2 linked regions of the Saccharomyces cerevisiae S288C genome follow. The protein of the gene in region 1 binds, or shares a complex with, the protein of each later gene. Each region holds a gene or a part of one and is shown in the gene's direction. Other genes may lie near its edges. The genes, in order: SEC28 and COP1.

Region 1 (10,302 bases):
CAAAAGAAAGTTAGATAAATCGTGCATTAAATGATGTGTCATCTGAAAGATTACAGGTTAACGAAAAATTAACAGCTAACAGAGCAAGAAAATAAAACGGAGATGAGTGCTAGTGAAGCAGGTGTCACTGAGCAAGTCAAAAAGCTGTCTGTCAAGGATAGTAGTAATGATGCCGTAAAACCAAATAAGAAAGAAAACAAAAAATCCAAGCAACAGTCCTTGTACTTGGATCCTGAACCAACTTTCATCGAGGAAAGAATTGAAATGTTTGACAGATTACAAAAGGAATACAATGATAAAGTTGCTTCTATGCCACGTGTTCCATTGAAGATTGTCTTGAAGGATGGAGCCGTTAAGGAAGCCACTTCTTGGGAAACCACTCCGATGGATATTGCCAAAGGAATTTCTAAATCTTTAGCAGACAGGTTATGTATTTCTAAGGTTAATGGTCAATTATGGGACTTAGATAGACCATTTGAAGGCGAAGCCAACGAAGAAATCAAATTAGAACTGCTAGATTTCGAATCTGACGAAGGTAAGAAGGTCTTTTGGCATTCGTCTGCCCACGTCTTGGGTGAATCTTGTGAGTGCCACCTAGGTGCCCATATTTGTTTAGGTCCTCCAACTGATGATGGGTTCTTTTATGAAATGGCTGTTAGAGATAGTATGAAAGATATATCTGAATCTCCAGAAAGAACCGTCTCCCAAGCTGATTTCCCAGGATTGGAAGGCGTTGCCAAGAATGTTATCAAGCAAAAGCAAAAATTTGAAAGATTGGTCATGTCCAAAGAAGATCTTTTGAAAATGTTTCATTATTCGAAGTATAAGACTTACTTGGTACAGACAAAGGTTCCAGATGGAGGTGCTACTACCGTCTACCGTTGCGGTAAATTGATTGATCTATGTGTCGGCCCTCATATCCCACATACTGGGCGTATCAAAGCTTTCAAACTATTAAAGAACTCTTCTTGTTATTTCTTAGGTGATGCGACAAACGACTCTTTACAAAGAGTTTACGGTATCTCTTTTCCAGACAAAAAATTAATGGATGCTCATTTGAAGTTCTTGGCGGAAGCCTCTATGAGAGATCACAGAAAGATTGGTAAAGAACAAGAATTATTCTTATTCAATGAAATGTCCCCAGGTTCTTGCTTTTGGTTACCTCATGGTACTAGAATTTACAACACTTTGGTTGACTTGTTGAGAACCGAATACCGTAAGAGAGGTTACGAAGAAGTCATCACTCCAAACATGTACAACTCCAAATTGTGGGAAACCTCAGGTCACTGGGCCAATTACAAGGAAAACATGTTTACTTTCGAAGTAGAGAAGGAAACTTTCGGTCTAAAACCAATGAACTGTCCAGGTCATTGTTTGATGTTCAAGTCTAGAGAACGTTCTTATAGAGAATTGCCATGGAGAGTTGCAGACTTCGGTGTTATCCACAGAAATGAATTTTCTGGTGCCTTGTCTGGTTTGACTCGTGTCAGAAGATTCCAACAAGATGATGCTCATATCTTCTGTACCCATGACCAAATTGAGTCTGAAATTGAAAATATTTTCAACTTTTTGCAATACATTTACGGCGTTTTTGGATTTGAATTTAAGATGGAATTGTCCACTAGACCAGAAAAGTACGTTGGAAAGATCGAAACCTGGGATGCCGCTGAATCAAAATTAGAATCTGCCTTAAAGAAATGGGGTGGTAACTGGGAGATCAATGCTGGTGATGGTGCTTTCTACGGTCCAAAGATTGACATTATGATTTCTGACGCTTTAAGAAGATGGCATCAATGTGCCACCATCCAATTAGATTTCCAATTGCCAAACAGGTTCGAATTGGAATTTAAATCTAAAGATCAAGATAGCGAGAGTTACGAAAGACCGGTCATGATCCATCGTGCCATTTTAGGGTCTGTTGAAAGAATGACTGCCATTTTGACCGAGCATTTTGCTGGTAAATGGCCATTTTGGTTATCACCACGTCAAGTTTTGGTTGTGCCAGTTGGTGTCAAGTACCAAGGGTATGCTGAAGACGTCCGTAACAAATTGCACGATGCTGGCTTCTATGCCGATGTCGATTTGACCGGTAACACTCTGCAAAAGAAGGTCAGAAACGGGCAAATGCTAAAATATAACTTCATTTTTATTGTTGGTGAACAAGAAATGAATGAAAAATCTGTTAACATTAGAAACAGAGACGTTATGGAACAACAGGGTAAAAATGCTACTGTTTCTGTTGAAGAAGTTTTGAAACAGTTGCGTAACTTGAAAGATGAAAAGAGAGGTGACAACGTCTTAGCTTAATGAGATTTTATGTAGTTAAATTTTGACTTATTTAATTTATGTTTTGTAAAGAATAAAATGAGTATGATGAAGGAATCTTACCTCTATTAACTATTTCTTCTTTTTTTTTCCTTCGATAAGATGTGCGCGAATTCAATATGGAAGAAAGCAATTTGGTATGCAGATGGTGTTCACCGGCAGTGTTTAAGTTACGAATATATAAAAACAAATTCAGGAACCCGCCGAATTTGGCCCAAACATATACCTATATACAAATTAGTGACCATACGCTATTATTACTCCGTCGTCTAGGAGCGGTTCCCACCATATCTCCCGCTCTGCAGTAAACGCTGATATTTGTCATCAGAAGAGGAATTATCGGTAGCATTACCATCGTCAGAAAATCCTGAGATAAATATATCGGATTCATGATCCACTGAAGCATCTGATTCCTGCGACTGATCTCTACTGGTGTTCCTTATATTTTCCCATGATGAAGACGAACTGTTGTCGCCGTTCCTGATTTTTTCCCAGGAAGACAGAACAGGACTGTCGTTTTGCTCTCCTTCAATTGGGTCAGGAGATTTTCTACCCTTATTACGATACAATCCTATAGGATCCCTTTGGTTCATAAAGGGCGAGCCGTTAAAAACTCCGCCTTTTTTCATTTGCTGCAGTTTGACTTTCGGGTCTGGCAATCTTCTCTCCGGATTTTGGTACGTTATGTAAAAGTACATCGACCACCTTGAGGGGGAGCCTGAATCTAATAAGCGCATCATATTGTACTGCCTTTGATTTCTCGGAATTTCTTTTGTTTGATCATGTTGAAAGGCTCCAAAGTCGTTGTCACCATATTTGTTGGAATAGTTATCCTTCAAAACACCTGTGGGGTCACGTTCGTTCAACTGTCGTGTATACATGGACCTACCAGCAAAATTTGTAGCAAAAAATAAAGCCATTACACCCAAGACAAAATTCCTCGGCACCTTAACACCTTTAATAGCCTTGGTCTTGTAGTAACGATAGGCAAATGGAGTTAAAAATACAGCTGAAAACCCAAGCCAACCACCCCACATCTCAGCTTTAGCAATGGATCTATAGGCCTTCGATAACTCCAGCCTGTCTCTTGCATCCAGCAATTCGTCTTTTTCATGAAATTCAATAGCATTTTCATAAGCCTTTTTAAACCAAGGCCTCTTCATAAAGGGTAGTTCATTTTCCATTCCCTTACCATTCTGGCCATATTGCTGTTCTTCTTCTTTTCCCAACATCACCTTGTTCTACGCTTGAAATTAGGCTGCTCCTTAAAACGAAAATCATATTAAGCATTGACACATAAAAAGTTCTGTTCTGCGTCAAAGTAGCATTAGCTCATAAGGCTTTCACCCTTGCTTGACTTACACCCGCGGAAATAAAAACACAGAAAAAGAAGGAAATAATGTATAAACAAGTAACTATGAACGAAATTTCCTGTTACGGATTGTTACGCTAGCTATTAAAATTCGTCTCGTCAAAGATCGACTGTAGCAGCGTGCTGCTGATGTCAAAGAATTGGGAGCCACAAGCTGGTGAAATGGTATCTGTCTTAGTACTCACAACATTCTAGGCTGCAAAAGAGGTTATACCGGAACAATAGTTGCTAAAATGGAATTCAGGAGATGGCTCCAACGCAACGATCAGGACGCCCGCTGATCTCACTCTTTAGTGTCCACACTATATAGTAACATTACATTCAATTGGAACCGTAATGTTGTATAAAATCTTTTGTCTTGCTGTATAGGTGCGTATGCAGCGTCTTCAATGGGATAAAGATATTCTATTTTTAATTTTTAAGGTGATCTTAATTTTTTGTTGGTTCTTTTTCAGTTTTTTGTCAAGCGAAAAACTACAGTTTCTACAGAAAAACACGTCAAGCTACAGTATAAGAACGGATTGTGAAGAACTCGGTGGAGAACATAGAAACAGACAAAAAATCATGGATTACTTTAATATCAAGCAGAATTACTACACGGGGAACTTCGTGCAATGTTTGCAGGAAATAGAGAAGTTTAGCAAGGTCACAGATAACACCTTATTATTCTACAAGGCGAAAACCCTTTTAGCTCTAGGCCAATATCAATCACAAGATCCTACCTCTAAGCTTGGCAAGGTACTAGACTTGTACGTCCAGTTCTTAGATACAAAAAACATTGAAGAATTAGAAAATTTGTTAAAGGATAAACAGAATTCACCATATGAATTATATCTGTTAGCCACGGCTCAAGCTATCTTGGGTGACTTAGATAAAAGTTTGGAGACATGTGTAGAAGGGATTGACAATGACGAAGCAGAAGGGACTACAGAATTATTGCTGCTTGCCATCGAAGTCGCTTTGTTAAACAACAACGTTTCGACCGCGTCCACCATCTTTGATAACTACACTAATGCTATTGAGGATACTGTTTCCGGTGACAACGAAATGATTTTAAACCTGGCTGAATCGTACATTAAATTTGCCACAAACAAAGAAACGGCAACATCCAACTTTTACTACTATGAAGAGCTATCTCAAACCTTTCCTACTTGGAAAACTCAATTGGGATTGCTCAATTTGCATTTACAGCAAAGAAACATAGCTGAAGCTCAGGGTATTGTCGAGCTATTACTATCTGACTACTATAGCGTCGAACAAAAAGAAAACGCCGTATTGTACAAACCTACTTTCTTAGCAAACCAAATTACGCTTGCTCTTATGCAAGGTCTTGATACTGAAGATTTAACAAATCAATTGGTTAAATTGGATCACGAACATGCATTCATCAAGCATCACCAAGAAATTGACGCAAAATTCGATGAATTAGTGAGGAAATATGATACGTCCAACTGATTTACGTAATATCTCACATTAAACATGTAGGTTTTTTAGAAAAAGAAAAAAATATTTCATGTATATGCCTATATACTATTTTGATAAAGCCGAATAAGATGGTACCATAAATGAGGTTGACATGGCTTGAACAAAATCATATAAAGTATAATTAACAAAGCGGAAACAACATTTGTCACGTTAGAATTATGCGTAAAGTAGCTAATCCTGGCAGAATAATTCAATGATTTTTTTTTAAAAGTATGTACACTATTATTTATTTTCTGGCATTTTGAACTAATTCTTCATTTTCTGTACGACCATGCACCCTTGATCTAAGCACTAGGGAAGTCGACATTATCATCGACCTTAAATGGGGTTGGAAGTGGAGCGTTAACATCTTTCATTTGCCTAACAGTTTCAATTAGTGCTACAGGTTCCTTGGGTTCCCTATCTCTTAAAACCACCACACCGTTATTTCCTTTGAATTTACGTACAGGAACAAATCTGTCGTCCTTAATAAAGGAAATATATCTCGATTGTTGTGGTAGTATACGGGTCATATTGTCGACTTTATAAGGTTTAGAAGAGTACTTATTTTTGTAAAATTCTTCGTCGTTTTCTTTTGTTTCTTTTATGCCTTTTTTATTCGTCTCTCTTTCCTTTTCTTTTTCCTCATGCTCTTTTTTCTTTTCTTCCTCATTTGGACCCTTTTCCTTCTTTGTCTTCTTTGCCCTTGCTTTTGCTCTTGCTGTCGTGGAAAGAACAGCTGTTGCTACCTTCTCTACCTCCTTACCACTTGCTTCCTCATACATCCTCGGATAACTGAATGCATCTTCTTTAGCGTAACAATTCATTTGAAATTTGGGTATAGCTTGATCGCTACCACGAATACCAATGACAGTTGTTGGTGTAAAAGAAAGGGATAAAAAGTGAGCCAGTGGGAACCAGTACCAGAATTGTGAGAACATGACCAAACCAACTACGGACTTGGTATCCAATGTGCCTGTATCCGCATTTTCCAGCTGAATTGTAACATTACGCCCACCGGCATTCATTATACCTTGGGCCACACATGCACCGAATTTGGCTAAACCTTCTTGGTGTTTGTTTGTAATCACGCTCAAAAAATTTTTGTTAATATCAGCAACTTGAGGGTTTAGTTTTTCTGTTTGTTGAATCAAAATCATGGATAAAGCTATCATGGCAGCCTGACGAACAAAATCTACTGGGTCCTTTGTTAGCGGATCTAAAACGTCAATAGCTGATTGTAAACCCTTGCCGGCACAAGCAATCCCAAGAGCAAATGCGGTACCACATCTGACATGAGCGTTATGCGATTTAGATAGAAGTTGGACAATCCTTGGTACAGTGGTATAATCACGCAAGAGAACAAACCCTAATGCGATGACTGCTGCCCTTCTGACATCATCGTTAGAATCCGAGACTGCCACATGCAGTAATCTCTTGACAGCTGAATTATTTCCCGTACCCGCATACGCTAACGCGATTGTGAATGCACCTCCATAGCGTAACAAGGACTCATCACTTGCTAACATCTTAGTAATTAAATCATCAGCTAACTCTTGACGGCCGTAATTTATCAGTGCTAAACCAACGGCTAGACCACGAGTAATATTGCCATGCTGCGTTTCTTGGGAATATGTAAACATATCGTGAATCGCTTCAGGCTTACCTGTTCCGAGCATACAGAGACCCATACCTAATGCAGCTGCTTCTCCAGATGTGGCAGAATCGTTGTACAGAACTTCCTTTAAGGCTTCATAAACTTCAATATTAGCAGAACCCATAGCAGCAAGACCGATACCCAGTGAAGCACCATGTAACAATACATCTACGTCTTCATCGCCTGAAGTTCCGCTATTCTCAACTATTATGTTTTTCAGATAGTCAGTTGTATCACGACCAAAGCCAGCATAAATTAAACCCAAACCATACAATGAACCACCTTTGATAAACCTAGAAGAAGCTCGACTGCCTGGCAAGTAAGGGGCCATGACTTTTTTACCCTCCAATAAATTGCCTTTATGAATTACACCTAAAGAGGCTGTAGCTGTAAATTTAGCCCAATTTTGAGCCTTACCTAACCATGGCAAGTTCGCCTTGATAAATGAATTGTCGGTAGTACCAGCGTGCATAAAACCGTTGGCAACGCTGACTGCGGTGTGGAACAAAGAAAATTTCCCATCCAAAGATGATTTAGACTTGTTTAAAAGACCGATGTCAATGTTTTTATTATTCAAAAGGAAGGTATTGTAATAATCACAAGTCGGTAGCCCAGATAGAATATTCAATAAGGCAGGATCGTAACCCTGGGCAGTTAGTTCGGTTACTAAAATCTCAAGCAACTGCTGAGACGCAGACGAAACCAAATCAAATGCAATTTGAGCAGATAATCCTTCATCGTTCTCTTCCTTTAATTTTTTAAATAGCTGAAGTGCCAATCCGGCGTCATTCAAATTTACAACTACTTTATTGAGCGTTAAGTAATCGCAGTTAGGCATATTCATTAGGAAATCAAATGATTTTCTCAATATCGAGGATCTGAACTTGGAATTTGTCACAGTAGTTATAGCTAAGGTCAATAAGTAGTTAATAATTTTAACGTTTTCAGAAGTGGAATCCTGATCCAATTTGCTCTTTAAAGCACTTTCAATGATATCCAATCTGTAACCTTCTAAGGCAATTCCTAAAGCTAATTTTAATTCTGAAGCTTTCAAACATTTTTCTATCATTCGCTCAAAAATAGAGGTTAATTTTGGGTCAATAATATCCTTGGTGTAAAATTGTTCGTCCTTAGTGTATTGCTTGGAAGCCTCTTGGACGTACATCTCAATACTCTTTGAGACTATAGTTTCAACAAATTGTGACTTTTCGTCTATATCAAAACGATCCTTTGCGGCAAGTGCATACTTCACAGCCGATTCGTATTCACCAAGATTGTAATAAACTTTGGATGCAATCAAAGCAGCCATTTCACGGTCTGAAAAGGTATCGTCATCATACAATGCCTCAATATCCGGCAGTTCATTCGAGATCTCAGACCATAATTGGTCCACAACATTATTTATAGATTCTAGGGCATATGTTTTAACAGAATCTTGATTCTCTCTCAACAATGCTAAAAGAGGAGCAGCAGTCGTCAAAGACATCTTTTCCGGTTATATTTGAACTCAATCTATTCTGGGTGGTCTTTTACTGGATAGAGTTCCACAATTTTTTTTCCCTTGGATTCAAAGCATTATACTTTTATGTATCCAGTTTTGCCACCGAAAATAAATGAAATGCGCCCTTCTCCTATTGAAAAGCAATATGCTATTACCCGCACTAAACCCTCGAAATAATGGCAATAAGAGGCAGATCGAAAAAGCTCGACAGATTATCGTCCATGAATCGTGAGACAGCACTTTGTGGAGTTTAATGGGCAATCAAAGGCTATTTTTTTACTCGATTCCGTTTCAACATATCTTACATACTATGAAGATAGGGGAGGATTTTAAATCTATACATATATTTTTATTTATCTGAGTAATTAGTATAATAACCTGATGGAAACTTTGGCAGAAGTTTGGTTCAACTTTTCATATATATCCTTGATTTCACTTTGATTAACAGAAGAGATGTCTGCCATTAGATAAGCGATCTCGCCGTGAGAATCAGAAAACTGTTTCTCGATATTATGATCGGATAAGATATCATTAACGGTCTTCAAAACACCAGGAACGTTACGATGAATATACAAGACACGTACTGTGTTCTCTTGATCGTAGTCCAAAGACTTCAAACTGACTTCTGGGAAGTTCACAGAACCGACAGAGTTACCTTCATTGATGTATTTGGACAATGCAGTAGCCACCTCAATACCGATTGAACTTTGAGCTTCTTCTGTAGAGCCACCAATATGTGGTGTCAGGATTATATTTGGTAATGAAACCAACTCAGAAGTCCAGCTGTTAAGTTCATCGTTAAATGAACCTTCACCGTTCTTAGCTGGTTCATGTGGATAAACATCTAAAGCAGCACCTGCAATTTTGTTGGCCTTGACGGCTTGGATCAGAGATGGAATGTCCACGACAGTACCTCTTGAGGCATTAATAACATAAGCCCCGTCCTTCATAGCAGCGAATTGTGGAGCAGATAACATTTTTTCAGTTTCTGGAGTAGCTGGTACATGTAGTGTTACAAAATCAGATTTATTCAACAATTCATCTAATGTAGAAACTTGTCTGGCAGTACCTAAGGCCATAATTGTCACGATATCATAGTATAGCACATGCAGGCCCATAGCTTCTGCAAGAACTGATAATTGCGAACCAATGTGACCATACCCAATAATACCGAGAGTTTTTCCTCTTACTTCCCAACACCTAGCAGCGACTTTATTCCATGTACCTGTATGCAGTTCAATGGATCTATCACCTAATTGTCTTGCTAAACTAATGATCTCACCAATTACCAATTCTGCTACGGATCTTGAATTGGAGAATGGCGAATTGAAAACAGCAATACCTTTACTAGCGGCATATTTTAGGTCTACTTGATTGGTACCTATGCAAAAACAACCAATACAAACTAGATTCCTGGCATGCTGTAGTATTTTTTCAGTCAATCTAGTTTTGGATCTTATACCGATAGCGTGTACGTCTTTGATTTTTTCAATCAATTCATCCTCAGGTAGAGAAGACTTGTGGAACTCTACTTGGTAACCCTGATCCTTGAAGATTTTGATTGCAGTTGCATTGACATTTTCCAACAGTAGAATATTCATGTCACCAGTAGAAAAAGGTTTTAAAGCCTTTGGTTGCTTTGTAATGCTTACACGACGAGGTAGTGTGTTCATAAATGACTGAGTTGGTGAGGTTGAGACTGCACCAGGAGAGCCAGAAAAGTTCATGGCACGTTGGAATGAATCTTGTAAATTATCGGCAGCTGAATAAGACATGTTAGGGAGGAAATACCCGAAATCAGTGTTTGTTACTTTTTAATGTTACAATAATCTACAGCTAAAACAGACAAAGTATTTTTTAATGTAGTAGCTCGTAACCTTCTTATGTATTAAACCTGGGAGATTCCATTAGTTTTCATAACGGTGACTCGTTTCCAGCGTGAAGAATCTAGCCCACAATTAATCTGAGCGCTGTCCGGCTGAC
Region 2 (12,730 bases), on another chromosome or scaffold:
TCTTGCATTATTGTTTCTTATACCAGTTACTCTAACTATCTTGGAACCATCGCTATCGATCTCCTCAACTAAATCAGCGGAACCCAATCTATCTTCGGTGAACAATTCTATATCAGCAATTGGCTTACAACCCAAGCCCTTCGACAGAAACTCGATTTCTTCTCTCTCGATATCCTTTACCACCATTATGTTCAATTTTGACAAGAAATGAAGAGCCAAATCATTTACCGCATCTCTCAAGATGGATTTCTGAATCAACAGCACGTTACACTTGGCCTTTTTAATTTTTTTACAGATATTTAGCAAATACGCTCTTTCTTCTTTAAGGATCTTATCCATTTGTCTATAGTCATTAACGATGATATTATTTTCTGTGTCGGGCTTTGGAGGAGATATTTGGAATTGAATTAACCCAATCTTTGCTTTTTCCTTTCTTGTCGGACCACCAGCAGATTTGATTGCCGTTTGTGTCAAGACCACACCATCTATCATTTCTGTGTCATCAATGGTACCACCAACTTTTTTGACCAGTCTGATATCGTTCAGGTCAACATTCTTAGAGTTTTCATCAGATATCTTCAATACGGAGTCCACTGCCAAGGGCGCCAAAAACGAAGAGTATTGAGACACAATCTTGGAACTCAAAGAAGTGGATGCAGCACGAACCAGCTGTTCTCTATCGCTCAACGAAACCTTATGGCACATTTCTAAAAGAATATCGACAGATCTCTTCGCAGCACTTTGAAAGGAGTCCGCAATGATGGTTGGATGGATGCCCTTGTTTAACAGCCTCTCAGCAGCACCCAATAGAGCTCCGGTCAAGATCACCACAGAAGTGGTACCATCACCGGCTTCCGAGTCCTGCGCGGCAGAAACCTCTACTAGCATTCTGGCCACCGGATGCAGAATGGCCATCTGTTTTAGAATGGTGTGGCCATCATTAGAGATGATGATTTCTCCACGAGATGTCTTAATCATCTTGTCCATACCCTTGGGACCCAATGAAGTACGGATGGCATCTGCAACAGAACGTGCAGCGATGATGTTGGCTTTGCGAACCTCTTGAGGTTTTTCCTTGTTCTTAAACGTGGCGTTAGATGGAACTTTAGCAGACATCGTTCTATACTCTCCTTTACCCGTCTTGCACACTTGCCGCACCTCCAATTACAATTCATAACCTTCATGCCCACTTAGCTATATCAACCTCTTGAACTGTATTCAATTAGCCTTTCTTGGTGGCGAAACGAAAAAAATTTCAGTTTCCCCGTGGCAAGTGATAGTAATACCAAATTATATAGCCTTAATTAGGACATATTGATATACCTCATAAACTACAGTCCCGGTGCCAGGATACAAGTTGGCATAAGCTAATGTCGAAAATGTCTAGAATACTAGTTATCGGGGCAGGTGGCGTTGGGGTCATTACTGCGCTTTCGTTGTGGCTTAAGAAGGAGAGCGACGTTTCCTTGGTAGTCAGATCTGACTACGATAGGGTATTGAAGCATGGCTACACAATCGAATCATGTGACTATGGCCGGTTAGAAGGTTGGAGACCCCACCATATTTACAGCAGCGTCGAGGACGCTGCTTCTGCCGCAGACAACCAAGGATACAACTATATTGTAGTGACTACCAAGAACATCATAGATGGGCCCGTTAATTCAAGGGTGTCCAACATCATCAGACCTGTGCTTGAGAAGAATAAAGAGCTACATGGGCCGCAATTGACGACACACATTTTACTGGTACAGAACGGAATCGATATTGAGAAGGAGATATGGGCGGAATTTCCCAGAGAGCAGTATCGTTACACGGTGCTTTCTGGCATCCAGTTAATCGGATCCACTAAGATCGGGTCAGGCCATATCAGTCAAGTGGGCCAGGACCACTTATCGTGTGGAGCTTTTGATCCACAGGACGCTGCTGCTATCCAGGCTGCCAACGACTTCGTCAGGATGTACAGCAACGAGGGGCAAAACTTTGTCGAATTTGACCCTAGGGTCCGTTACTCTCGGTGGAAGAAGTTGCTCTACAATGCAGCTATCAACACATCCACGGCACTTGTGGGGCTAGACGTTCCGCGTTGCCTGGAGTTTGGGGTTAACAAGAAGAGCACAGAAATTGAAGTGTTCCACCCTGCCATGAGGGAGATCATCGCCATTGCGGCGAGTGAAGGCATCATTATCGAAGAGGAGTTCATAACGATGTTTACAGAGATTACCAGGAAAAAGGTGTTCAAGCCATCCATGTGCGTGGACTGCGAGAAGGGCCAATTGATGGAGCTAGAAGTCATCCTAGGCAACCCCATAAGAATCGCGAAAAGAAACGGCGTCGCTACACCCACTCTTTCTATCTTATACAACCTACTTGTGCTAGTACAGGCCAAACTAAAGGAGCGGAAAGGCCTATTGAAGTTCGACGAAAAAACTGCCACTCTTGTGGACGAGTAGTTCCAACCATTGCTTGCCTCGTTGACGAGCCTTCATCTAGTATATTGTAACACATAATTTAGTATGTACTCTTAACTATTATTCTTATTGTCAGCATTTATACGACGTACAGAGCGACCGAAAATTTCGACAACACGAAACGAAATCGACAATTTGCCAACTTGAATAAATAACAGATCCGTCTTCGAGACTGTGACGATTGAGCCTCGATTCAGTAGCATACAGGGACCACAAACTTGTTTGAAGAGGCATTGCAATTAGGTAAATCATAGAATTGGCGAAACCAGCAGGATTTTCCAAACATTTGTTACTTACCCCCTTCTTTGCTTAAGATATAAAGTTTTTTCTTTTTATTTTATCTTCCCTTTACACTTTTGAATAAAAACATTATCATACCTGTTTACAAATTCGCGGTTTATTTAACCTGAAATCAGTATACTTTTTTTCTTCTGTAGTGTCTTTGTTCATTTCATTACTGGATCAAGATGAAGATGTTAACTAAATTTGAATCAAAGTCCACTAGGGCCAAGGGCATTGCCTTCCACCCCTCCAGACCTTGGGTTTTGGTGGCTTTGTTTTCCTCTACTATTCAATTATGGGATTACAGGATGGGAACACTACTTCACAGATTTGAAGACCACGAGGGCCCTGTTCGTGGGCTAGATTTCCATCCAACCCAACCGATTTTTGTTTCGGCAGGTGACGACTATACCATTAAAGTTTGGTCCTTAGATACTAACAAATGTCTATACACCTTAACTGGGCATTTGGATTATGTCCGTACCGTGTTTTTCCACCGTGAGCTGCCTTGGATCATATCTGCTTCTGATGACCAGACCATAAGAATCTGGAACTGGCAAAACCGTAAGGAAATTGCATGTTTGACCGGCCACAATCATTTTGTCATGTGTGCTCAATTTCATCCAACCGATGACCTGATCGTTTCCGCTTCTCTGGATGAAACCATCAGAATTTGGGATATTTCCGGTTTAAGGAAAAGACACTCCGCTCCTGGTACTAGTTCATTTGAGGAGCAAATGAGTGCACAACAAAATCTATTGGATGGCTCTCTTGGTGACTGTGTTGTCAAGTTTATTCTAGAGGGTCACACAAGAGGTGTCAACTGGGCCTCTTTCCATCCAACTTTACCATTGATTGTCTCCGGCAGTGACGACCGTCAAGTTAAATTATGGAGAATGAGTGCTACGAAAGCTTGGGAAGTTGATACTTGCAGAGGTCACACTAACAATGTTGATAGTGTTATCTTTCACCCACATCAAAACTTGATCATTTCTGTCGGTGAAGACAAAACGCTAAGGGTTTGGGATCTTGACAAGAGAACTCCAGTAAAGCAATTCAAAAGAGAAAACGATAGATTTTGGTTGATTGCAGCACATCCTCATATCAATCTATTTGGTGCAGCTCACGATTCTGGTATTATGGTTTTCAAGCTCGATCGCGAAAGACCATGCAGCTTTATCCATCAAAACCAGTTGTTTTTTGTCAATGCGGAAAAGCAAATCCAAAGTTTCAATTTCCAGAAAAGAGTCGCTTCATTACCTTATGCGTCCTTAAAGGGTATTGGTCAACCTTGGGATGCATTCAGAAGTATATCGTACAATCCCTCCCAACATTCAGTTTTGGTTAATGAAGCTAATGGCAAATTTGCTCTCGTTATTTTACCAAAACAACCAGTTGGAGCTGTGGAGCCAACAAGTGTCACCCAAGATACAGGTAATTTTGCTACTTTTGTTGGTCGTAATAGATTTGTTGTTTACAACAAGAACACTGAATCTGTTGAAGTTCGCTCTCTCGAAAACAAAGTTACAAGAAATATCAAAGTAGAGGAAACAGTAAGAACTATTGTAGCTGCAGGTCCTGGATCTGTTTTGGTCATACACCCCAGAGAAGTTATTCTTTATGATGTCCAACAGGGCAAAAAAGTATCCCAATTGGCTGTTAAAAACGTCAAGTACGTTTCGTGGTCCTTAGATGGTCAATATGTTGCATTGATGAGTAAGCACACCATAACTTTGGCTACCAAAAAGCTAGAATTGATTAATTCTATGCATGAAACGATTAGAATCAAAAGTGCCGCTTGGGATGAAACTGGTGTATTAATTTATTCAACTTTAAATCATATAAGGTACTCACTATTGAACGGGGATAGAGGTATTATTAAAACTTTGGAGAAAACTTTATATATCACAAAAGTTCAGGGAAAATTAGTGTACTGCTTGAACCGTGAAGGTGAGATTGAAATTTTAACCATTGATCCTACAGAATATCGCTTCAAAAAGGCCCTGGTTAACAAAAATTTCCCAGAAGTTTTACGTCTGATAAAAGATTCTAATTTGGTTGGCCAGAATATCATTTCCTATCTGCAGAAGTCAGGTTACCCAGAAATTGCTTTACAATTCGTTCAAGACCCACATATCCGTTTTGATTTAGCTTTGGAATACGGTAATTTGGATGTTGCCTTAGATGAAGCCAAAAAACTGAATGATTCTAGTACTTGGGAAAGATTAATCCAAGAAGCCTTGGCACAAGGTAATGCCAGCTTAGCTGAAATGATTTATCAAACTCAACATTCTTTTGACAAACTTTCCTTCCTGTATTTAGTTACAGGTGACGTTAACAAACTATCTAAAATGCAAAATATCGCTCAGACTCGTGAAGACTTTGGAAGTATGCTATTAAACACCTTTTACAACAATTCAACCAAGGAAAGATCTAGCATTTTTGCAGAGGGCGGCTCTTTACCATTAGCTTATGCCGTAGCAAAGGCTAACGGAGATGAAGCGGCTGCTTCTGCTTTCTTGGAGCAAGCTGAAGTTGATGAACAAGATGTTACTTTACCAGACCAGATGGATGCCTCCAACTTCGTTCAAAGACCAGTGATCTCAAAGCCACTTGAAAAATGGCCATTAAAAGAGGCTGAACTATCTTACTTTGAAAAGGCTGTTTTAGGTCAAATTGACGATTTGACTATAGACGATGAAACTCCAGCAGTAAACACCACTCAAGAGCAAGAAGAACCACTAGGCGAAGAAAACTTTAACGATGAGGATATTGGTGAAGACGAAGGTGCCTGGGATTTGGGTGACGAAGATTTGGATGTGGGAGAAGAGTTACCTGAAGAAGTTGAGCAAGGCGAAATTACCTCTCCAGCACAGGAAGTTGAAACAGCCATTTGGATCAAGAATTCTAAACTGCCTGCTGTCCTAGTTGCCGCTGGTGCCTTTGATGCCGCTGTTCAAGCCTTGAGCAAGCAAGTGGGTGTAGTCAAGCTGGAGCCATTGAAGAAATATTTTACCAACATTTATGAGGGTTGTAGAACATACATTCCTAGTACGCCCTGTGAACTTCCTGCTCAATTAGGTTATGTCAGAGCGTATGATGATACCGTAAGTGAAGATCAAATTCTTCCTTACGTGCCAGGTCTTGATGTCGTTAATGAAAAAATGAATGAGGGTTACAAAAACTTTAAACTAAACAAACCAGATATTGCAATCGAATGCTTCAGAGAAGCTATCTACCGTATTACGCTATTAATGGTCGATGATGCTGAAGATGAAAAATTAGCACACAAGATACTGGAAACTGCTAGGGAGTATATATTAGGTTTATCCATTGAATTGGAACGCCGCTCATTAAAGGAGGGAAATACTGTACGCATGCTTGAGCTAGCTGCATACTTTACAAAGGCAAAACTATCCCCAATTCATCGTACCAATGCTTTACAAGTGGCTATGTCCCAACATTTCAAACACAAAAATTTCTTACAGGCCTCATATTTTGCCGGTGAATTTTTAAAGATTATTTCTTCTGGTCCTCGTGCAGAACAAGCACGTAAAATCAAAAACAAAGCCGACTCAATGGCCAGTGACGCCATTCCAATTGACTTTGATCCTTATGCTAAATTCGATATTTGTGCAGCCACCTACAAACCAATTTATGAAGATACACCTTCCGTTTCTGACCCATTAACAGGTAGTAAATACGTTATCACGGAAAAAGATAAAATAGATAGAATTGCTATGATTTCTAAGATCGGTGCACCTGCATCCGGATTAAGAATACGTGTATAAATGCTATTTTGCCTATTGATTTTCTCGGGATTGTATTCTGCTCGACCTAAATTTCATGTGACAAGTCCTTTTAATCTAAACAATATGATAGTGAAAAAAAAAAACTGACTATGTAATTAACAGTTATATACAACTTCTAAAATAAAAAATATCGCCTATTTTAACAAGTGACACACAACCTGAAATTCTGCCAGCATGTATTCGGAAGCAACCCGAACTTTAGTTTTATAGTTACGATTGTTGCATTTGTATATAAAAAGTACAATGTGTCATTAGATACTGCAGTGAGTAGAAGAAGAAATGGTCGGAAGAACCACATTAATGCAAGAAGAAATAATGCTTTACTTATTTTGGAGTTCCACATTTTCTTGATGGAGGAGGAGGAGGAGGCGGAGGCGGAGCTTTAGCCTTTCTTTTAGTCAAAGATTCTGCAGAAACATCTAATTCACGATTACTATAAAGATGGCCTTTACGAGCCAAGATATTTTGATTGTCGGGCGTCCCCAATGCAACAATGCTAGAGTTTCTACTAGTGTTATTACTAGAGACCGATGAACCTCCATCTGAAGGCGTTGAAGGTGTCTCTAACCAAGGAATTTGTTGAAGACACTTCCGAGATAAGGCCACTGTAACTTGATGCTCGTGCAACGCTGGACTGTCAACGCATATATTATCTAAAGTCGACAAGTAGTTTAATAGTTTATTCAAATCATCCTTTCTATAATGTGTTTTGGATAATTGTGTATTCTTTAATAGCGGAATCAGAACCCTTAGAAGGGTGTTTCTCAATACCTCTTCATCCTCACTGATATTCTGTAGTTCTCTGATTAATACATCGATAAGAACACGTAAGTCGTTTGTATAAAAGAAATTCATCGGAGAGTAGTCTCCTCTTGGTGTCAAGATAAGATAAATAATTTTGCACATCATAATTTGTAACGGAGGGTCCGATGCCCTATTGAATTTCAGTAATAATAGCTCCGTAAAACATCTTGAGACAGACCCATTGATCAAATACTTATAGACCTTGTTCTCAATGTCGTACTCCTTGGCAAACATCATATATTGTTCGTTCAACGCCAACAGCAGTTTAAACTCCGCGTTATTGAACATATCGTCCATAGTGTCGGACCTCATTGATTCCATCATATAGTAAACAAAAAAGTCATCCACAATTTGAAGATTAGCAATAACACACTTACAGTACTTCATAATTTGAAATAACAAATCCATCAAAACAGTTGAAATTTGCTTCATTTCGTCTATAATACCCAAATCAATATCAGTCAAACTTCGGTCTAAACTGTCCAAGGATGTACCTGTGCTAGAATTATTAGAATTGTATTGATGTTTAGAAGCAACTGTCCTTTCCTTTCCGTATTTGCTCAAATAGGCGAATTGTGTGTACAAGGTATTATAAAACACAGTAAATCCTTGGAACTTGAGCATGATTTCTAAGGAGTACACGTTTTTTTTCGCCTCACAGAGAAGAATGTAAACAATAATGAACTTCATATTCATTTCCAGTAGGTCTATGTTGAGTAACGACTGCAACTTACTTAGGCAAAACTCTTTTTTAAATTCAAATAAGGACGATTCTAACAGTATTAGCGACATCCGGTAGAGGTCACGATCAGTATTAATAAAAACCTTATAGGAATCAGTAGCAAACTTCAGGTAGGCAACCAGGCTTGAGTTAACATGGGATTCATCCAAGTTTTCCTTTGGTATGTTAGCAATAGACTCAGTTTTTTCCCAAAACTCAATTATTTCATCTTGAGTATGATTTTCAATATTTGGAGATAATGGATCTAATATCATGAGTCAAAATGAAAGGAAAAATGTTCGAAGAAAGTATAGGCTAAAGTGACATAAGTTAATCGAAAAAAAAATATTCAAAGTTTAATTCTTGTTTACTAAATGAAAAAAATATTTCACTGTTTAAAGATATGTCTATAGGTGTAGTAATTAATGTTCAGAGTTTTGCTAATCAAACGAAAAAATGACTCTTTACGCTGCTATTAATGTCATTTAAATACCATAAACAGTTTACCGTTTTGACTTTTCACTTTTTTTTTGGGTGTCTTCTTTCCCCTGAAAAATTGAAAAACTAAAATTCCATTAATTGTCACCTTATGTTTTGTGTAAGCAAGTGAAGAGAATGAGAGCAATACGTGGCCATTTTCCATTTGAGTTATATATATGCATAGATAATTTTATCTCACGTACGTAAATACACATTTCGATTAGTAACAGATTTAAAATCAAAACCGGATCTGAGATAATCCGACACTTACTCGAAAATCTCTTCATTTAGCTTGCAAACCGTGCATGATTTCCTCTTTTGTAATTAAATGGCCTATTGTTTCTATATGTTCTAATAGTTCGTCAACATTATGTGACCATTCGTTCAATAATTGGCTTGAGTTTTTTGGTTTTTCAAAATTCACGATTTTGGCTGGGCGATTAACTTTAGCGTATATGATGCCCTGGTTTACCAAATCACTGATGTATGTTTCCGTCTGGCTCTCCGTTAGGTCCAGCAATTCATTCAATCTTAGTAAAGTAATTCTGGAATAGTATTCGGAAATGACTCTTAAATTGTGCTCGATGACCCTTTTTTGTAAATCTTCCCAGTGATGCTTATTAGCTTCTCCACCAAATGCCAAATCATCCTCATTTAAGACGGGCTCATAGGTTTTTTGAACAATTGGCCATCTCATCAACTCATTCGTAGTAAACAATTTTACTAAAGATTCTTGGCTTTCTAATTTTTTCAGGTTGTTATCATTCTGGATTTTGTGAATTAAATCATTTTGTAAATTGCCGTAAGGTGAAAGGACTAAGAAATATACAATGTGCGATAAAACAGGTTTCCACTTAGCCTCATCTGATTTAATGGCGTCTGTTTGATAAATTTCTTGCAGATACTGCGCAACTTCTAGGTATTCTCTCTTGTGCAAACTAATTTTTACCAGAAGATTATAATATTCTAGCTTCAATGACTCGTATTTTGGATTTTTAAAAGTTTTTTTCAGAATTTTTCTTGAAAGCACCGTGGCTTGGGAATAATCACCTTTTAATATACTCAATTCCATTTGCTCTAATATAAACTGAATTTTCTCAGACATTTCCATGGAGCCATAGGTCTCAACCTGTAACTCACACAAGATGTCTGCAGCTTCATCAATCTTACCCTCTTCTTTCTTAATTTCCACCAAATCTTTGGTGACCCTAGCTCTTTCCACTTCTACAAATATTTTGTTCTCTGTAACCACCCTGATAGTTTCAATGACACTAATTCTGGTGTTTAAATCCAAAGATTTCGAGCTTTTCAAATATTCCATAACCTTTTGTATCATATACTGAATTGACAATTTCAACTGACCATGCTTTTTTGAGAGTAGAGTCAATTGCTCATTTAGGTCGTCCCACTTATTCCTTGATGCTAGCAGATCTACAATCTTGGCCAAAACTTCTTTCGAGGAGGCCAGATCTGAAGCTTGTCTGGTTTTCTTCTCCAACACTAACAGTTGGTCTAAAGCAGAGTTACAATCATTTTGAGCGAGCGAATCGATCTTAGGAAACTCTTCCTTCAAAATTTGGCTATAATCCTTGTCAGCCTTAATTGGTGCATCTCTTGACATCTTTCTCTACGTTTACTCTAGCAACAAAAATGGTAGTGAGCCCAGCAGTATATTCCTCTACTCTCTTAATTCAAGATTATCTCTGATGTAGTGTCCTGTTATGGTTTTTCCTTGGATTCCCCTTTGCATTTTGCCACCGAAAAGTCAAAAAGATCACATACAAGACGGGTAATATTGGGGCGATGAGCCGTACAGAACGAGTGAAAAATTTTAGGATTTATTAGGAATAATAATGATAATTTAGAGATGAGCATTTAGCGAGAAGCATCTGAAGGTTGCACTAATTATTACTGTAAATAGTACAGTTGAGAAGCAAATAAAAGGGAAGATCAAATACATGGCCGGTTCACAACTTAAGAATTTAAAGGCCGCCTTGAAGGCCCGTGGACTCACAGGTCAAACAAACGTCAAAAGTAAGAATAAAAAGAATTCCAAAAGACAAGCGAAGGAGTATGATCGTGAAGAAAAAAAAAAGGCCATTGCTGAAATCAGAGAAGAGTTTAATCCGTTTGAAATAAAGGCTGCAAGGAATAAGAGGAGAGATGGTCTGCCTTCTAAAACTGCTGATCGTATTGCTGTGGGTAAGCCTGGTATCTCTAAACAGATCGGTGAAGAACAAAGAAAGCGTGCATTTGAAGCAAGAAAAATGATGAAGAATAAACGTGGTGGTGTGATCGATAAGAGATTTGGTGAAAGAGACAAGTTGTTGACGGAAGAAGAAAAAATGTTGGAACGTTTCACCAGAGAAAGACAAAGCCAATCAAAGAGAAACGCAAATTTATTCAATCTTGAAGACGATGAAGACGACGGTGACATGTTTGGAGACGGTCTTACACATTTAGGTCAATCGCTGTCCCTAGAAGATGAGCTTGCCAATGATGAAGAGGATTTTTTAGCTTCCAAACGATTCAATGAAGATGATGCTGAGCTACAGCAACCTCAAAGAAAAAAAACCAAAGCTGAAGTCATGAAAGAGGTCATTGCCAAATCAAAATTTTACAAACAAGAAAGACAAAAGGCTCAAGGTATAATGGAAGATCAAATAGATAATCTGGATGATAATTTCGAGGATGTTATGTCTGAATTGATGATGACGCAACCCAAGAAGAATCCAATGGAACCTAAGACCGATCTAGATAAGGAGTATGATATCAAAGTGAAAGAACTACAATTGGACAAAAGAGCTGCACCCTCTGATAGAACTAAAACTGAAGAGGAGAAAAACGCTGAAGCTGAAGAAAAAAAACGGGAGTTGGAACAACAGCGTCTTGATCGTATGAACGGTATGATTGAATTAGAAGAAGGCGAAGAAAGAGGAGTAGAGGATTTGGATGATGGATTCTGGGAAAATGAAGAAGACTATGAAGACGATAATGACGGTATTGCTGATTCTGATGATGATATCAAATTTGAAGATCAAGGCAGAGATGAAGGGTTTTCTCAAATTTTAAAGAAAAAGAACATTTCCATTTCATGCCCTAGAACTCATGATGCGTTATTAGATCAAGTAAAAAAATTAGACTTAGATGATCATCCTAAGATTGTTAAGAATATTATCAAAGCTTACCAACCAAAATTGGCTGAAGGTAATAAGGAAAAGTTAGGAAAATTCACCGCTGTTTTACTGAGACACATCATTTTTCTAAGCAATCAAAACTACCTTAAAAACGTTCAAAGTTTTAAACGTACACAAAATGCATTGATCTCAATTCTAAAATCCCTTTCAGAGAAATATAATAGAGAGCTTTCCGAGGAGTGTAGAGATTATATCAATGAAATGCAAGCACGCTATAAAAAGAACCATTTTGATGCTCTATCAAATGGTGATCTGGTATTTTTTTCCATTATTGGTATTCTTTTCTCCACCTCGGACCAGTACCATTTAGTAATAACTCCAGCATTGATTTTAATGAGCCAGTTCCTGGAACAAATCAAGTTTAATTCTTTAAAGAGGATAGCTTTTGGCGCTGTCTTGGTAAGGATTGTTTCACAATATCAACGCATTTCCAAACGGTACATACCGGAGGTGGTTTACTTCTTTCAAAAAATATTACTCACTTTTATAGTTGAGAAAGAAAATCAAGAAAAACCATTAGATTTTGAAAATATTAGACTAGACTCTTACGAGTTGGGGCTTCCATTGGACGTTGACTTTACAAAAAAGAGATCAACTATTATTCCATTACATACCTTGTCAACAATGGATACCGAGGCACATCCGGTTGATCAATGTGTCTCCGTTTTACTAAATGTTATGGAATCTTTAGATGCAACTATCTCTACTGTGTGGAAGAGCTTACCTGCTTTCAATGAAATTATTTTACCGATTCAGCAGTTATTAAGTGCATACACCTCAAAGTATTCTGATTTTGAAAAGCCAAGAAATATTTTGAACAAAGTTGAAAAATTAACGAAATTCACAGAACATATTCCGTTGGCTTTACAGAACCACAAACCCGTATCCATACCTACGCATGCTCCTAAATACGAAGAAAACTTCAATCCTGATAAAAAATCGTACGATCCTGATAGAACAAGAAGT

What was found.
Region 2: the proteins of SEC28 (region 1) and COP1 are in contact, whole or in part, in a crystal structure (PDB 3MV2), measured with the Saccharomyces cerevisiae proteins. Residues at the interface, in NP_012189.2 of Saccharomyces cerevisiae: Tyr11 (codon at 4,292), Lys39 (codon at 4,376), Tyr63 (codon at 4,448), Leu67 (codon at 4,460), Tyr90 (codon at 4,529), Thr94 (codon at 4,541), Ala97 (codon at 4,550), Ile98 (codon at 4,553), Leu126 (codon at 4,637), Leu127 (codon at 4,640), Glu130 (codon at 4,649), Leu133 (codon at 4,658), Leu134 (codon at 4,661), Asn136 (codon at 4,667), Val138 (codon at 4,673), Leu166 (codon at 4,757), Tyr170 (codon at 4,769), Phe173 (codon at 4,778), Ala174 (codon at 4,781), Thr175 (codon at 4,784), Asn176 (codon at 4,787), Glu178 (codon at 4,793), Thr179 (codon at 4,796), Ala180 (codon at 4,799), Lys198 (codon at 4,853), Leu201 (codon at 4,862), Gly202 (codon at 4,865), Asn205 (codon at 4,874), Leu208 (codon at 4,883), Gln209 (codon at 4,886); in NP_010136.1 of Saccharomyces cerevisiae: Glu900 (codon at 5,633), Gly918 (codon at 5,687), Phe920 (codon at 5,693), Asp921 (codon at 5,696), Val924 (codon at 5,705), Leu936 (codon at 5,741), Glu937 (codon at 5,744), Leu939 (codon at 5,750), Lys940 (codon at 5,753), Phe943 (codon at 5,762), Thr944 (codon at 5,765), Asn945 (codon at 5,768), Tyr947 (codon at 5,774), Glu948 (codon at 5,777), Gly949 (codon at 5,780), Arg951 (codon at 5,786), Thr952 (codon at 5,789), Tyr953 (codon at 5,792), Ile954 (codon at 5,795), Pro955 (codon at 5,798), Ser956 (codon at 5,801), Thr957 (codon at 5,804), Pro958 (codon at 5,807), Cys959 (codon at 5,810), Glu960 (codon at 5,813), Leu961 (codon at 5,816), Pro962 (codon at 5,819), Ala963 (codon at 5,822), Gln964 (codon at 5,825), Leu965 (codon at 5,828).

What each region holds. Positions count from the first base shown.
Region 1 is NC_001141.2:212,397-222,698, forward strand, and holds SEC28 (coatomer subunit epsilon), read left to right. Parts: upstream 1-4,261; coding exon 4,262-5,152; downstream 5,153-10,302. Other genes in the region: threonine--tRNA ligase THS1, read left to right, coding at 103-2,307; RCI37 (Rci37p), read right to left, coding at 2,595-3,557; proteasome regulatory particle base subunit RPN2, read right to left, coding at 5,467-8,304; phosphoglycerate dehydrogenase SER33, read right to left, coding at 8,685-10,094. UniProt on the Saccharomyces cerevisiae protein: The coatomer is a cytosolic protein complex that binds to dilysine motifs and reversibly associates with Golgi non-clathrin-coated vesicles, which further mediate biosynthetic protein transport from the ER, via the Golgi up to the trans Golgi network.
Region 2 is NC_001136.10:188,382-201,111, reverse strand, and holds COP1 (coatomer subunit alpha), read left to right. Parts: upstream 1-2,935; coding exon 2,936-6,541; downstream 6,542-12,730. Other genes in the region: chaperonin-containing T-complex subunit CCT4, read right to left, coding at 1-1,116; YDL144C (uncharacterized protein), read left to right, coding at 1,380-2,450; LDB17 (Ldb17p), read right to left, coding at 6,887-8,362; proteasome regulatory particle lid subunit RPN5, read right to left, coding at 8,851-10,188; snoRNA-binding rRNA-processing protein NOP14, read left to right, coding at 10,526-12,730. UniProt on the Saccharomyces cerevisiae protein: The coatomer is a cytosolic protein complex that binds to dilysine motifs and reversibly associates with Golgi non-clathrin-coated vesicles, which further mediate biosynthetic protein transport from the ER, via the Golgi up to the trans Golgi network.